4 linked regions of the Saccharomyces cerevisiae S288C genome follow. Each later gene encodes a partner of the first gene's protein in a complex. Each region holds a gene or a part of one and is shown on either strand. Other genes may lie near its edges. The genes, in order: SPT14, GPI19, ERI1 and GPI15.

The links.
Region 2: SPT14 (region 1) and GPI19 share a complex: the UniProt entries of both Saccharomyces cerevisiae proteins name them as parts of the phosphatidylinositol N-acetylglucosaminyltransferase (GPI-GlcNAc transferase) complex.
Region 3: SPT14 (region 1) and ERI1 share a complex: the UniProt entries of both Saccharomyces cerevisiae proteins name them as parts of the phosphatidylinositol N-acetylglucosaminyltransferase (GPI-GlcNAc transferase) complex.
Region 4: SPT14 (region 1) and GPI15 share a complex: the UniProt entries of both Saccharomyces cerevisiae proteins name them as parts of the phosphatidylinositol N-acetylglucosaminyltransferase (GPI-GlcNAc transferase) complex.

Annotation. Positions count from the first base shown.
Region 1 is NC_001148.4:216,790-220,588, forward strand, and holds SPT14 (phosphatidylinositol N-acetylglucosaminyltransferase SPT14), read left to right. Parts: upstream 1-1,840; coding exon 1,841-1,857; intron 1,858-1,957; coding exon 1,958-3,299; downstream 3,300-3,799. Other genes in the region: TRE1 (Tre1p), read right to left, coding at 1-1,574; NIP100 (Nip100p), read right to left, coding at 3,378-3,799. UniProt on the Saccharomyces cerevisiae protein: Catalytic subunit in the complex catalyzing the transfer of N-acetylglucosamine from UDP-N-acetylglucosamine to phosphatidylinositol, the first step of GPI biosynthesis.
Region 2 is NC_001136.10:1,335,506-1,338,278, forward strand, and holds GPI19 (phosphatidylinositol N-acetylglucosaminyltransferase GPI19), read left to right. Parts: upstream 1-1,846; coding exon 1,847-2,269; downstream 2,270-2,773. Other genes in the region: PPZ2 (salt homeostasis regulator), read left to right, coding at 1-1,448; THI74 (Thi74p), read left to right, coding at 2,769-2,773. UniProt on the Saccharomyces cerevisiae protein: Part of the complex catalyzing the transfer of N-acetylglucosamine from UDP-N-acetylglucosamine to phosphatidylinositol, the first step of GPI biosynthesis. Involved in cell wall biosynthesis.
Region 3 is NC_001148.4:366,027-368,275, reverse strand, and holds ERI1 (Eri1p), read left to right. Parts: upstream 1-1,540; coding exon 1,541-1,747; downstream 1,748-2,249. Other genes in the region: EEB1 (medium-chain fatty acid ethyl ester synthase/esterase), read left to right, coding at 1-205; PNG1 (peptide-N4-(N-acetyl-beta-glucosaminyl)asparagine amidase), read right to left, coding at 258-1,349; tyrosine--tRNA ligase MSY1, read right to left, coding at 1,846-2,249. UniProt on the Saccharomyces cerevisiae protein: Probable component of the GPI-GlcNAc transferase (GPI-GnT) complex in the endoplasmic reticulum, a complex that catalyzes transfer of GlcNAc from UDP-GlcNAc to an acceptor phosphatidylinositol, the first step in the production of GPI-anchors for cell surface proteins.
Region 4 is NC_001146.8:555,238-558,283, reverse strand, and holds GPI15 (phosphatidylinositol N-acetylglucosaminyltransferase GPI15), read right to left. Parts: upstream 1,265-3,046; coding exon 674-1,264; intron 600-673; coding exon 501-599; downstream 1-500. Other genes in the region: isocitrate dehydrogenase (NAD(+)) IDH1, read left to right, coding at 1-364; transcription factor TFIIIB subunit BDP1, read right to left, coding at 1,452-3,046. UniProt on the Saccharomyces cerevisiae protein: Part of the complex catalyzing the transfer of N-acetylglucosamine from UDP-N-acetylglucosamine to phosphatidylinositol, the first step of GPI biosynthesis.

The sequences.
Region 1 (3,799 bases):
AGATCTACTAGTAGCGGATGACATTGTATCTCTAAATTGTTACTATCATCCCATATACCGATTTGGCCGACGTCGATAATGGTGTATATTTCACTCTTCAATGCCTCTGTTCTCTTTTCCATCAGCTCCGTGGCTCCCGCTTCATTAAATTCAGAGCCCCCAAAGGAAATGAAATATATATTTCTTAGAGGCTTCCAGTCAAATTTGTAAACCATTTCTTGATATAATTGGATCAGAGACAGCAAAACGACGGTTCCAAAAGAAGGATACATAGTGCCATAACTAGCAGAGTTCCTCGGTGCAGCAATAACAATTGCCCTGCCCGCTTGTTCCGATCCTTCAATTTTACCAACTATATCGTGAACCGGGTGGCGTTCCCTAATTGCTGTTTGCACTAGTAGGTCAAGTCGACAATCGTTAAGCGACCCACTGAATAAATTATTAGAAAACTTTACGCCAGTGTCTGATAATATAGCTAGTATTTTATCTCCTTGATTGGCAGATATCGGTATGGATGGAATTTTGGGTAGGCACTTGGCTTCCGTAGCATCGATAGGATCTCTTATTGATCCTTCCCATTCAGGCGTAAGTGCATCACCAGTACCATACTGCGGCAACGCAACTGACTTCATTTGTATCACGTCTTTGTTGTCTTGATAAGGCTCAGAAATAAAGATAATTGCTTTCGCACCATATTCTTGAGCAGTCAACATTTGTTGGAAAACATAATCTCCGTAATGCACTAGTAAAATAAAGTCACCGTTTAAAAGCCCTTGATCTTGCATAGAAGCCATATCGTCCAACGATGCTTTATTAGCATAAATCACCGGTATGTTGTTCAATTGACCATTATGGCTCATTGGGTTAAAGTTCTCCTCATTTAAGGGAATATCAAACCCTTCTGTATCATCCTTTGAATATACACGAAGTGAGACATTTCCTGGGTAATTCGAATACGCCATGAACTCCTCTTCCCCAGCTAGCCTTATACCATTTTTGTCGAACGACTCTTTAATATAATGTCTAATAGCGGCATCACCACTTGTTCCTGACATGTGGGGCATACTACTAATATACTCTAAATCTCTTTCTATCTTTGAAAGGTCTATCGATTTCCGAGCATACTGTAAAAGGAGATCATGGTCCGAGAATGATCCATTTGAACCTCGAGCTTTTCCATTCGGTAACCTATCACTCGCAATAATCAACGCTGCAATGATAGACATCATCATGATGTAAAATATTCTCCTCATTACCATAACATTACCTATTTTACTTAAGAACAAATCGAATTTCTCAGAGGCCAGGGAAATCATTTGTGCTAGCGGATCCACTACATTTTTCTTTACTGGAATCACCACGTTATTTTCAAAACACATACGAAATCGCTGGACTTTCTCACTAAAGGCTTCCGGAGCCTGCGGTTCTTCCATCCCCATCTCTTCCACATATACCGGGGGTTCTGATGGCATTCCTATAGCTTGCTCAAAGTCCTGCGAGTTTAGCTCATCTTGTGAGTTATTTGCTGGTTCTTCAACATTCGGAAGAGTAGTGTAGCCCCTAGTATTCACCATATCCTTTGTATACTCATATGCGAACTTGTCTAATACAATGTATACCAAAAATAACAGCTTGAAAAAAATCTCAGGGTCTTTTCATTGAATAATCTCATTCTGCTATTTTAAGTTTTTCGTTTGCAACCCGAGACTGTCGAGCTAGAAAATTTCATTGATACGATTTAAAAATAATCGATGCCAGTAATAGCCTCAAAAAACTTATGCAAAAATACGAGATACTATAAACTACAGCTTAGCTAACTCTAACATTATTATATAAAACAATGGGCTTCAATATAGCGTATGTCTAGCTCACAGCATGTGTTCCAAATACATTAAAGAAGATCTCTTTTGTTGTTGATACTAACCAGTAAAGTTGAGAGTTATAACAATGAAAATAGGATGCTGTGCGACTTTTTTTATCCACAGTTAGGTGGAGTCGAATTCCATATATATCATTTATCGCAGAAACTAATCGATTTGGGCCATTCTGTCGTCATTATAACTCACGCTTACAAAGATCGAGTCGGCGTACGACATCTTACCAACGGTCTAAAGGTCTATCACGTACCATTTTTTGTGATTTTCAGAGAAACCACTTTCCCCACTGTTTTTTCAACATTTCCAATAATAAGGAATATTCTTCTCAGAGAGCAGATCCAAATTGTTCATTCTCATGGTAGCGCTTCCACGTTCGCTCACGAGGGAATTCTTCATGCTAATACTATGGGATTGAGAACTGTGTTCACGGACCATTCACTCTACGGTTTTAATAACTTAACGTCGATTTGGGTGAATAAGTTGCTAACATTTACCTTGACAAACATAGATCGGGTTATATGTGTTTCTAATACATGCAAAGAAAATATGATTGTTAGAACAGAATTAAGTCCTGATATAATCTCAGTAATTCCCAACGCAGTGGTGAGCGAAGATTTCAAACCAAGGGATCCTACTGGTGGCACCAAGAGAAAACAAAGTAGGGATAAGATAGTGATCGTGGTCATCGGAAGGCTCTTTCCAAACAAAGGGTCCGATTTACTTACTCGCATAATTCCGAAAGTTTGTTCCTCACATGAAGATGTCGAATTTATAGTAGCGGGCGATGGTCCAAAGTTCATAGATTTTCAACAAATGATTGAAAGTCATAGACTACAAAAACGTGTGCAACTCTTAGGCTCTGTTCCACATGAGAAAGTCAGGGATGTATTATGTCAAGGTGACATATATTTACACGCTAGTTTAACAGAAGCATTTGGTACAATTCTAGTTGAGGCCGCATCTTGTAATTTGCTAATTGTAACGACACAAGTCGGAGGAATTCCCGAAGTGTTACCAAATGAGATGACTGTTTATGCAGAACAGACATCCGTTTCTGACCTTGTTCAAGCAACAAATAAAGCTATCAATATCATAAGAAGTAAAGCTTTGGACACTTCCTCTTTTCATGATAGCGTGTCTAAAATGTACGACTGGATGGACGTAGCCAAAAGGACAGTAGAGATATATACTAATATATCTTCTACTTCTTCCGCTGATGATAAAGATTGGATGAAAATGGTAGCAAATCTTTACAAAAGAGATGGAATCTGGGCTAAACATCTTTATCTGTTATGTGGAATTGTAGAGTACATGCTTTTTTTCCTCTTAGAGTGGCTATACCCCAGGGATGAAATCGATCTAGCTCCAAAATGGCCCAAGAAAACAGTGTCTAACGAGACGAAGGAAGCAAGAGAAACTTAAACTTTACACAAAACAAAGGAATGTTGTATCCATTTATTTACTGTATTTGAATGTTATAGACCTGCTAGAATCACTCAGTCATTTGTAATATGTAACAACATTTTGAGATTTGAGTCGTATATTTTTCCTCTTGCGCTTTAAATACGAAATGTAAGAATGATCTCTTTCATGCCAGAGTTCATCTTCTGCCAAAGGTTGATCAAGCTTTAAATCTAAAATCCGTGAGGTACTCACGAAGTTGAACATTTCTATCCCCAAGGTGTCCAAACTGTGGTTGATATGTTCTTTGAATGGTTGCTTATTTTCCACAGCTGGAAGCTCGTCTAACCAGCTGAAATCGATGCTCACTCGTTTCTGCTCTTTTATTTGTCGTCTTATGGTTTCTCTCAATTCCATGATTTCCGAAACTAAATTTACTCTATCTACTTTCTCTCTGTCTAAATAAATTTTGTTCAACGTATTATTATCCTTTATTTGATATAGTTTGAGCTCCATATTCT
Region 2 (2,773 bases), on another chromosome or scaffold:
CAGCAAGTTATCCTTTAAATGCAGAAGCAGGAGGGAATGGCAGCGACTATTTCTCAAACAGATCAAACTCGCATGCATCATCCAGGAAGTCGTCATTTGGCTCCACTGGGAATACAGCTTATAGCACACCACTGCATTCACCTGCGTTAAGAAAAATGAGCTCGAGGGACAACGACGATAGCGGAGACAACGTCAACGGTAGAGGCACCTCACCTATCCCTAATCTAAACATAGACAAGCCTTCGCCGTCAGCGTCGTCAGCGTCAAAAAGAGAATATTTAAGTGCATATCCAACACTAGCTCACAGAGATTCATCATCTTCACTTAGTCCGCGGGGCAAAGGACAACGGTCTTCATCGTCTTCCAGTTCCAGTCAAAGAATATATGTTTCCCCACCATCTCCCACAGGTGATTTCGTACACGGGAGTTGTGCAGACGGTGATAATGGATCTAGGACTAATACTATGGTCGAAATGAAAAGGAAAAAACCAGTTCGTCCAGTGGACATAGATGAAATTATCCAGAGATTACTAGATGCCGGCTATGCCGCAAAGAGGACCAAGAATGTTTGCTTAAAGAATTCCGAGATTATTCAAATTTGCCATAAGGCTCGTGAATTATTCCTTGCCCAACCTGCTCTCTTAGAATTATCTCCCTCGGTAAAAATAGTGGGTGATGTTCACGGCCAATATGCAGATCTTTTGAGACTTTTTACCAAATGCGGTTTCCCCCCCATGGCAAATTACTTATTTTTAGGCGATTACGTAGATCGCGGTAAGCAGTCCCTGGAGACCATTTTACTATTACTATGCTATAAGATTAAATATCCTGAAAATTTCTTCCTCTTAAGAGGCAATCATGAATGTGCCAATGTTACAAGAGTCTACGGGTTTTATGATGAATGTAAACGACGTTGTAATATCAAGATTTGGAAAACCTTTGTTGACACGTTCAACACGCTACCGTTAGCAGCCATCGTCACAGGAAAAATATTTTGTGTTCATGGTGGACTATCACCTGTTCTAAATTCCATGGACGAAATTAGGCACGTTAGTAGGCCCACCGATGTACCCGACTTCGGCTTAATTAATGACCTTTTATGGTCGGATCCTACAGATTCATCGAATGAATGGGAGGATAATGAGCGTGGAGTTAGTTTTTGTTACAATAAAGTGGCTATTAATAAATTTTTAAACAAATTCGGATTCGATTTAGTGTGTAGAGCACATATGGTGGTGGAAGATGGTTATGAATTCTTTAATGACAGAAGCTTAGTTACAGTGTTTTCGGCTCCCAACTATTGTGGTGAATTCGATAACTGGGGTGCTGTCATGACCGTTAGTGAAGGCCTACTCTGTTCTTTTGAGTTGTTGGACCCACTGGACAGTACCGCTTTGAAACAAGTGATGAAAAAAGGCAGGCAAGAACGTAAATTAGCCAATCGCTGAAAAACTAGATATTAATGTTGCAGTTAATAAGCTCATTGAAAACTTTCTTTGGTTGTTCCTCTTCCTTCTTTTTTTCGCCGATAAAGTTGTCGTTATAGTTTCACTTATATCTTACGAGAATCTAAATAAGTAAATATTAATATTATTCAATTTCTCATTTCCTTTCCTCTGGGTTTTTTGAGAGTACGAGTTTTATTGCTCGCTTTTTGTATTTTCACTTTGCCGGCTTTTTCACTATTCCCTATTGTCTTAATAAAGTTCCTGCTTGGGCCCAGTAAACTTTTAAAATTTATGTGCTGAAAGAAAGTTGAAACAATCACAAGAGGAGAGCAGATTTGCCAAAAAAAGAATCTGAGCTGTTTGTTCCTGTCTAATACTAAAAGATATAAATAAACAATATGTATACAAAAGAGTACTACTGGTTTTCACAATATATGATAATAACAAGCACTTTGGTGCTCACCATAATATGGTCCATCTTACCATCATCGCTGGGTGAGGCTGCACCAAAGCAGTTTATCAACACGCTATTGGACATCTTCCCACAAAGAAGATGGATTATTACCTTGGAGAGCATAATGCTGATGGGCATGCTATGCACATACATCGGCCTTCTGATGTACAATGAAGATACATTAACACCGCCGCTAGATTCTCTATCTACAGTAACGGATGCCGGTGGTCAACTTGTAATAGAGGACGACCCGGACGTATTCGTTAAGAAATGGGCCTTTAAAGAAACAAGTGGTATTTACGATCTGTCTCTGATGGATGCCTGCCAACTTCTCTACCTATATGATAACGACCATACCAGCACATAGCTTTTCTCAGCACCTGTCCAGAGACATAACATCACAATCACATCGCCCCAGTAAATGCATACGCAAGATAAGATACAAACTGGCTACGGGAACACTACGCCAACGTGATTGGCAATTGTGCTCTAATAGTTACTCTATTATTGCTGTTAATTGACAATGTTTAGTCACGTGCAACACAATTCAAGTCACGTGGAAAGGCCTTCACATGGTGATCCATCTTCTACATCTTCATCGGTCCTGCATAAAGTCATAATATGGGGCTACTGGAATGTATGCACTTAACAGTACTATTATATGGTGAGGCTGTAATGCTTACCGTTTTGTGGCTATTCTCGTATTCTGTAGGCCCCCCCATACACATTTTTCGGTAACTGCGGCATATAGATGAAAGTTGAAATGAATATTCAAAAGAATATATATAATAATGCAGGAGATCAAGGAAGAATTAGATATGTATAAGAGTGATGGTAGAGGCAAAAAATAAAAAGTAAGCAGGAGAATGAA
Region 3 (2,249 bases), 150 kb from region 1:
CCCAACTTTAATAATCAACGCAACGGATGATCCAGTTACAGGTGAAAACGTAATTCCGTACAAACAAGCTAGAGAAAATCCTTGTGTGTTGTTATGCGAGACTGACTTGGGTGGACATTTGGCTTATCTCGACAATGAAAGTAATTCCTGGTTAACAAAGCAAGCTGCCGAGTTCTTGGGCAGCTTTGATGAGTTAGTTTTATAAATATGTTCTTAGATAAAATTCCTTACACATAATAATCTGTTCTTTTATTTCTCTATTTACCATCCTCCCCACGCTGTGCTTTCCAATCCGCCGATCCACTTTCTCTACCACGATTAGATGATTTCGAAGCGGCACTGACGCTTTCGGATTTCGTTTCTTGTGTCTTTCCTCTAATCAGCTCTATCTGTTCCTGCTCATCGCGACATGCAAGTTGGTATATCTCGTCATCATTTAACGAATACCTCAACCTCTTCGTTATAAATTGACAAAGGAATTTTAAATCTTCTTCCTTGATTTGATCTCTGGGCAGCTCGTTTTGGAGGATATAGCGTTTACTAACGTCAACAACGCCATCTTTACCGAACGCAATACAGTAACTCATTTTCTTGTTCCAGTTAATTGAATAGATATATGGTTGGTCGAATGATTGCTCACAGGAGTCGACATGAACCCACCTATTCAAAAAATTTGAAAAATATTCACACCAAACATGATCTTCTCTATTCCAGACGTAGCGAACATCTAACCCAAACGACTTCAAAATCAAAGTAAATAAATTGCACCATTCACCGCATCTTCCCTTTCTAGTTTCCAGCAACTTAATTGGATCGTTATAACGAGGAAATCTAGTGATATTTCCGCATCGGTTGCATTTATAGATCTCAACAGTTCCGCAATTGAATTTAGATTCCTCTCCATTGGGCCCTTGACTGCCCAGAGGTGTCATATTTTCTGAAGTGTTCTGGCCACAATGATTACAATCTGGTTTATTGCACCATTTGAAAAAATCTTGTTTGAAGTAGCGAAGCAGCTCCTTTACTAGATAATCCGTGTATATATTTTCCCCCTCTGCATGCCCATCTTTGGCAAATTCCTTATCAACATTTTTATATATTAGATCCAGATCCAATGTCTCCAGGACTATAGAATGCCATGAAGGATTGTCATAGACTGTACAGAGATGTTGACTCTGACCTAGGACTCCTTGTGCGAATTGATTTGTATGGACTAAATTCTGAAACCTTATATTCTCTACAGGTGCAGCTTTCTTGAATTTAGACAGTATGAAATCCTTATACTTAATTAACAACATTTTGGCTATTGAATCAAAATCTATGTTATTTTTTTCGTATACCTCTCCCATTGCTACTCCACCTGTTACCTTCTTCAGGTTGTTTTACGTCTTCTATATCTGTTCCCAACGCATCCTTTTTTCTTCGCTACAATACAAGGAAGATTACACTACGCAAAGTTTCGAAAACATCAAGAAGCATAGAACAGTTGAAACTAGGCAACAGGACTGTTTCAATTACATGATTGAGAATTTATAAGCGCATGAGACCACGTGACCAAGGCTTTTTGGTTTTAGGGTTTACTTACTCGGTACTCCTAATTAGTCTTGCTACATTTTACTGGTTACGCAACAATGACTCTTTCCTGCACTACTGGTGTGTATTACTGCTATGCCCTGCGACTCTCTGGCTGTGGGCCCTCATAGCCTGGTGTGACAGTGAAATGTTCGCAAGTAGTAAAGATGAATAATCGTTTATAATCTTATTTACAAGTCAGTGCATAAAATGATATAATATCACCTCACGCATGCCTATTTTATACATGTACTTTATATACCTCCCTTTTTTTTAACGCATTTCTATTATAAAACACTTCTGCTTTCCTATCCTCAAGATCAGTACTCGATCATCTATCAGGAAAGGAGCCAAGTTAGAAATATTTTCGTTTACTTTAGATTTTGAATGATGCAGATACACGCTTCCCTGGGAAAGTTTTCTTCTGGCTTCTGATACTGAACAATTTACTAGTTTACAAATTAACTTTATTAAGTCAATCTCTCTATCAGCATACTGCAAAATTCTGGCTTTTTTACATAGATCAACTAACTTCGCAGCAGATAAAGTTCCGTCATAACGTCCAAAAATAATATTAGAAAGCGCTTCTGAATCCGATCCGGAGCCAACTCCATATAACATATCTGTGACTTCTTTAGCCAATAAAGTTTGGCCATAACGTAGACTGGGTGATTTGA
Region 4 (3,046 bases), on another chromosome or scaffold:
ATTTGATGTCCTAGTTACCCCTTCAATGTACGGTACCATCTTAGGCAACATTGGCGCTGCTTTGATCGGTGGTCCAGGATTGGTGGCAGGTGCCAACTTTGGCAGGGACTATGCTGTCTTCGAACCAGGTTCCAGACATGTTGGTTTAGATATTAAAGGCCAAAATGTGGCTAACCCAACTGCCATGATCCTTTCCTCCACGTTAATGTTGAACCATTTGGGTTTGAATGAATATGCTACTAGAATCTCAAAGGCAGTTCATGAAACGATCGCAGAAGGTAAGCATACCACTAGAGATATTGGTGGTTCCTCTTCTACTACTGACTTCACGAATGAAATCATCAACAAATTATCTACCATGTAATGAAAACAATTCCCCTTTTTTTTGTTCTGCAACTTAAGTGTGTTCAAATTCTTATCTATAATTATATATAAACATACACTAAAATATAAGTATATACCAAAATGTCTCAAGATTTTCTGTAATGATAATTTGATGTTCAATCTTTTGGTCTGCTCAGGGGTTTTTCTTGCTTACTGAGATATTTTCTAGATATGTTGTATATTAGACGTTGGTCATCGATACTGGGCAAATTTGACTGCATTGTTGTGTTAGTATTTCTAATCAGATCGTTGAAGTAAGAAACAATCTTAAATTCGCTTGAATACATACTGGAAATAATAGCTTAAGCGTAGACGATTTACGTACAATTGCTGCAAGATAGAATATCACTCGAAATCCCCGACAGAATCCTTCATTGATCACTACATCAATAATTCTTTCATTGGATATAAACTCTACTTGTTCAAAGAACTTCCGATTCCATTGTTGAGGAAATATAACCATACCCTTCACTCTGGACAGCTGTAGTCCACTTTCTTTGAAAATTGTTACAGTTTCCACACTAGGTCCCCTCACAAGTATAATTGTACCTAAGGCAAACAATCCCATTATAATTAAGATCTGGAAACTTCGCGCGATTGTCACTTCAAAAGTTCTATTAATATGTTCGAGAAATCTTGATCTTAGGCAAATTACATAGAACAAAATATTCAGTAGTAAAATAAGTACAATTTGGTGATATTGTATGCCCATGTTAATCTCTACCCTCCCATTTTGCTTGACTTTTTTGAACTTTCGGTTAGATACAGGTAAAACGGTAAATCTTATAAAATTGCCATTCTTGTCTTCATCGATAACTAATGTATACTTCTTTCTATTCAGTATACTAGTCTTACCAAATTCATACTCTTTACTAATCATATCATCCTTTTGTTTCTTTTGCTTATAGAACGATCCTCATATGTAACTTTCATAATACTGTTTTCGTTGCCAATTTTTTCTTCCGAACATCGCTTCATTTATTGATGCCGCGGTACACCTGAAGAAAATGATATAATACAACAAAAAGTTGTGCTATTTATCCATTATGTATGCATATAAATGTCTCTTATTGATCAATCTCAGGCTCTTCTTCACTTCCTTCATTATCCTCATTGTCATCATTATTCCTTTCTTTGAGTTTCTTCCTTTTCAAGTCATCAATTGTACCCAGAACAACTTCCGTTTTTCTATAAACTTTCAAATCATTTGTCATAATACCACCAGATCCCTTTTTATTCAAATTAGCATCATTTAGCCTTTGTGCAGTTTGGTCTTCCTCCTTTGCCGTATTCTTTGCTTCTTCGATTTCCTTCATATGATGTTTGTGCTCGTTTTGTAATTCGATTAGTTTCTCGTTGAAGTCTGCTACTGTACCAATGTTCTTCTTGATTTCGCAGCAATACTCATCAAAATTAGGCGGTAGCTTAGATCGAAGGGCCAATTCAATCAATATTGGACGTTTCTTCTCCTCATTAACGAATTTGGCCTTCACTTGTTTTCTTGATCTATAAGGGTATAATTGTGAGATCAAATTGAAATCTGTCCCCCACATAGAAAGCGCCTTGTAGAACTTTATCATTTCTTCCACAGTCCACGGGTCTGTGTATGAACCCCTACCATACGACCCGTAATTATAAAGATTGGCAAAAGGGTTTTCATCAACTTTTTCTTTATATTCATTTTCGATACTAGCATTTTTGTGTCTGTCAACAACCATAGTCTCTTCATCAATTGCCATAGTACCATCAGGGTTAAGCTTCAGTTGGATCGCCGTATGTGCTTTGCGGTCTGACTCAGGAATGTCAGCGTTGAGTAGTTTATCTCTTTCTTCCTTTCTCTTCTCCTCTTCTTCTTCCTGTTCTTCTTTAGTCAATGAGTGTAGTGGTTTAAATTCTTGTCGTGCGCGCATTCTGAGTTCTCTAAGATGCCTTCTCTTTTCCAATTTTGCCTTTTTTGCCATTTTAGATTTTTCAAAGTTTTCAGATATTTGACCAATAGGAAAGTTTGGCTTACACAACTCTGCCATCGTAAAATTCTCTTCATCGATAAAATATTTAGCAGACTCCCCATCTCTCACTTTTTTCGGGATATCTTTGACTTTGCTAATCACATAATTTTCATTCTCATCAGCTTCTCTTGATGTAGAAGTTTCTGACGAAAATTCATTCCTGTCCAAAGAATCGGTCATTGCCGTAGGTGGAGAAATTTTGGAGACAATACTGATTCTGTGTGCACCTGCTGGTTTCTTAGCCGAAGAAGGTTTGCCCAAAACCCTATGTCTTTTGAAAGTTTTCAGATTCATATCGTTTTCTGTAATGCTTCCAAGCCTTATCTTTTTAGGAAGCTTATTGGAGATTGTAGATAAACGTCGCGCAGTCCCATTACTGTTACTGGAAGAATCGAGAAATGACGGTTTAAAACTTGGACGACTTTCGTTGTCCTTACTCAGTGAAGCTAATCTGCTGGATCTCGGTACCTTCTGGTCTCGGTGGGTTTGCAAGGGTGCCGGTTTTAGAGTCACATTATCTTCTATAACGTCTGCTTTGGGGTTCTGGGTCGAGGCGTCAATGGGGCCCTCATCACCTATTTCATTATCATGTCCATTAGTGCCGGTTAAGGTAAAGCCTTCTAAAGAGCGTTCTCCAACTAGCGAAGGTTTCT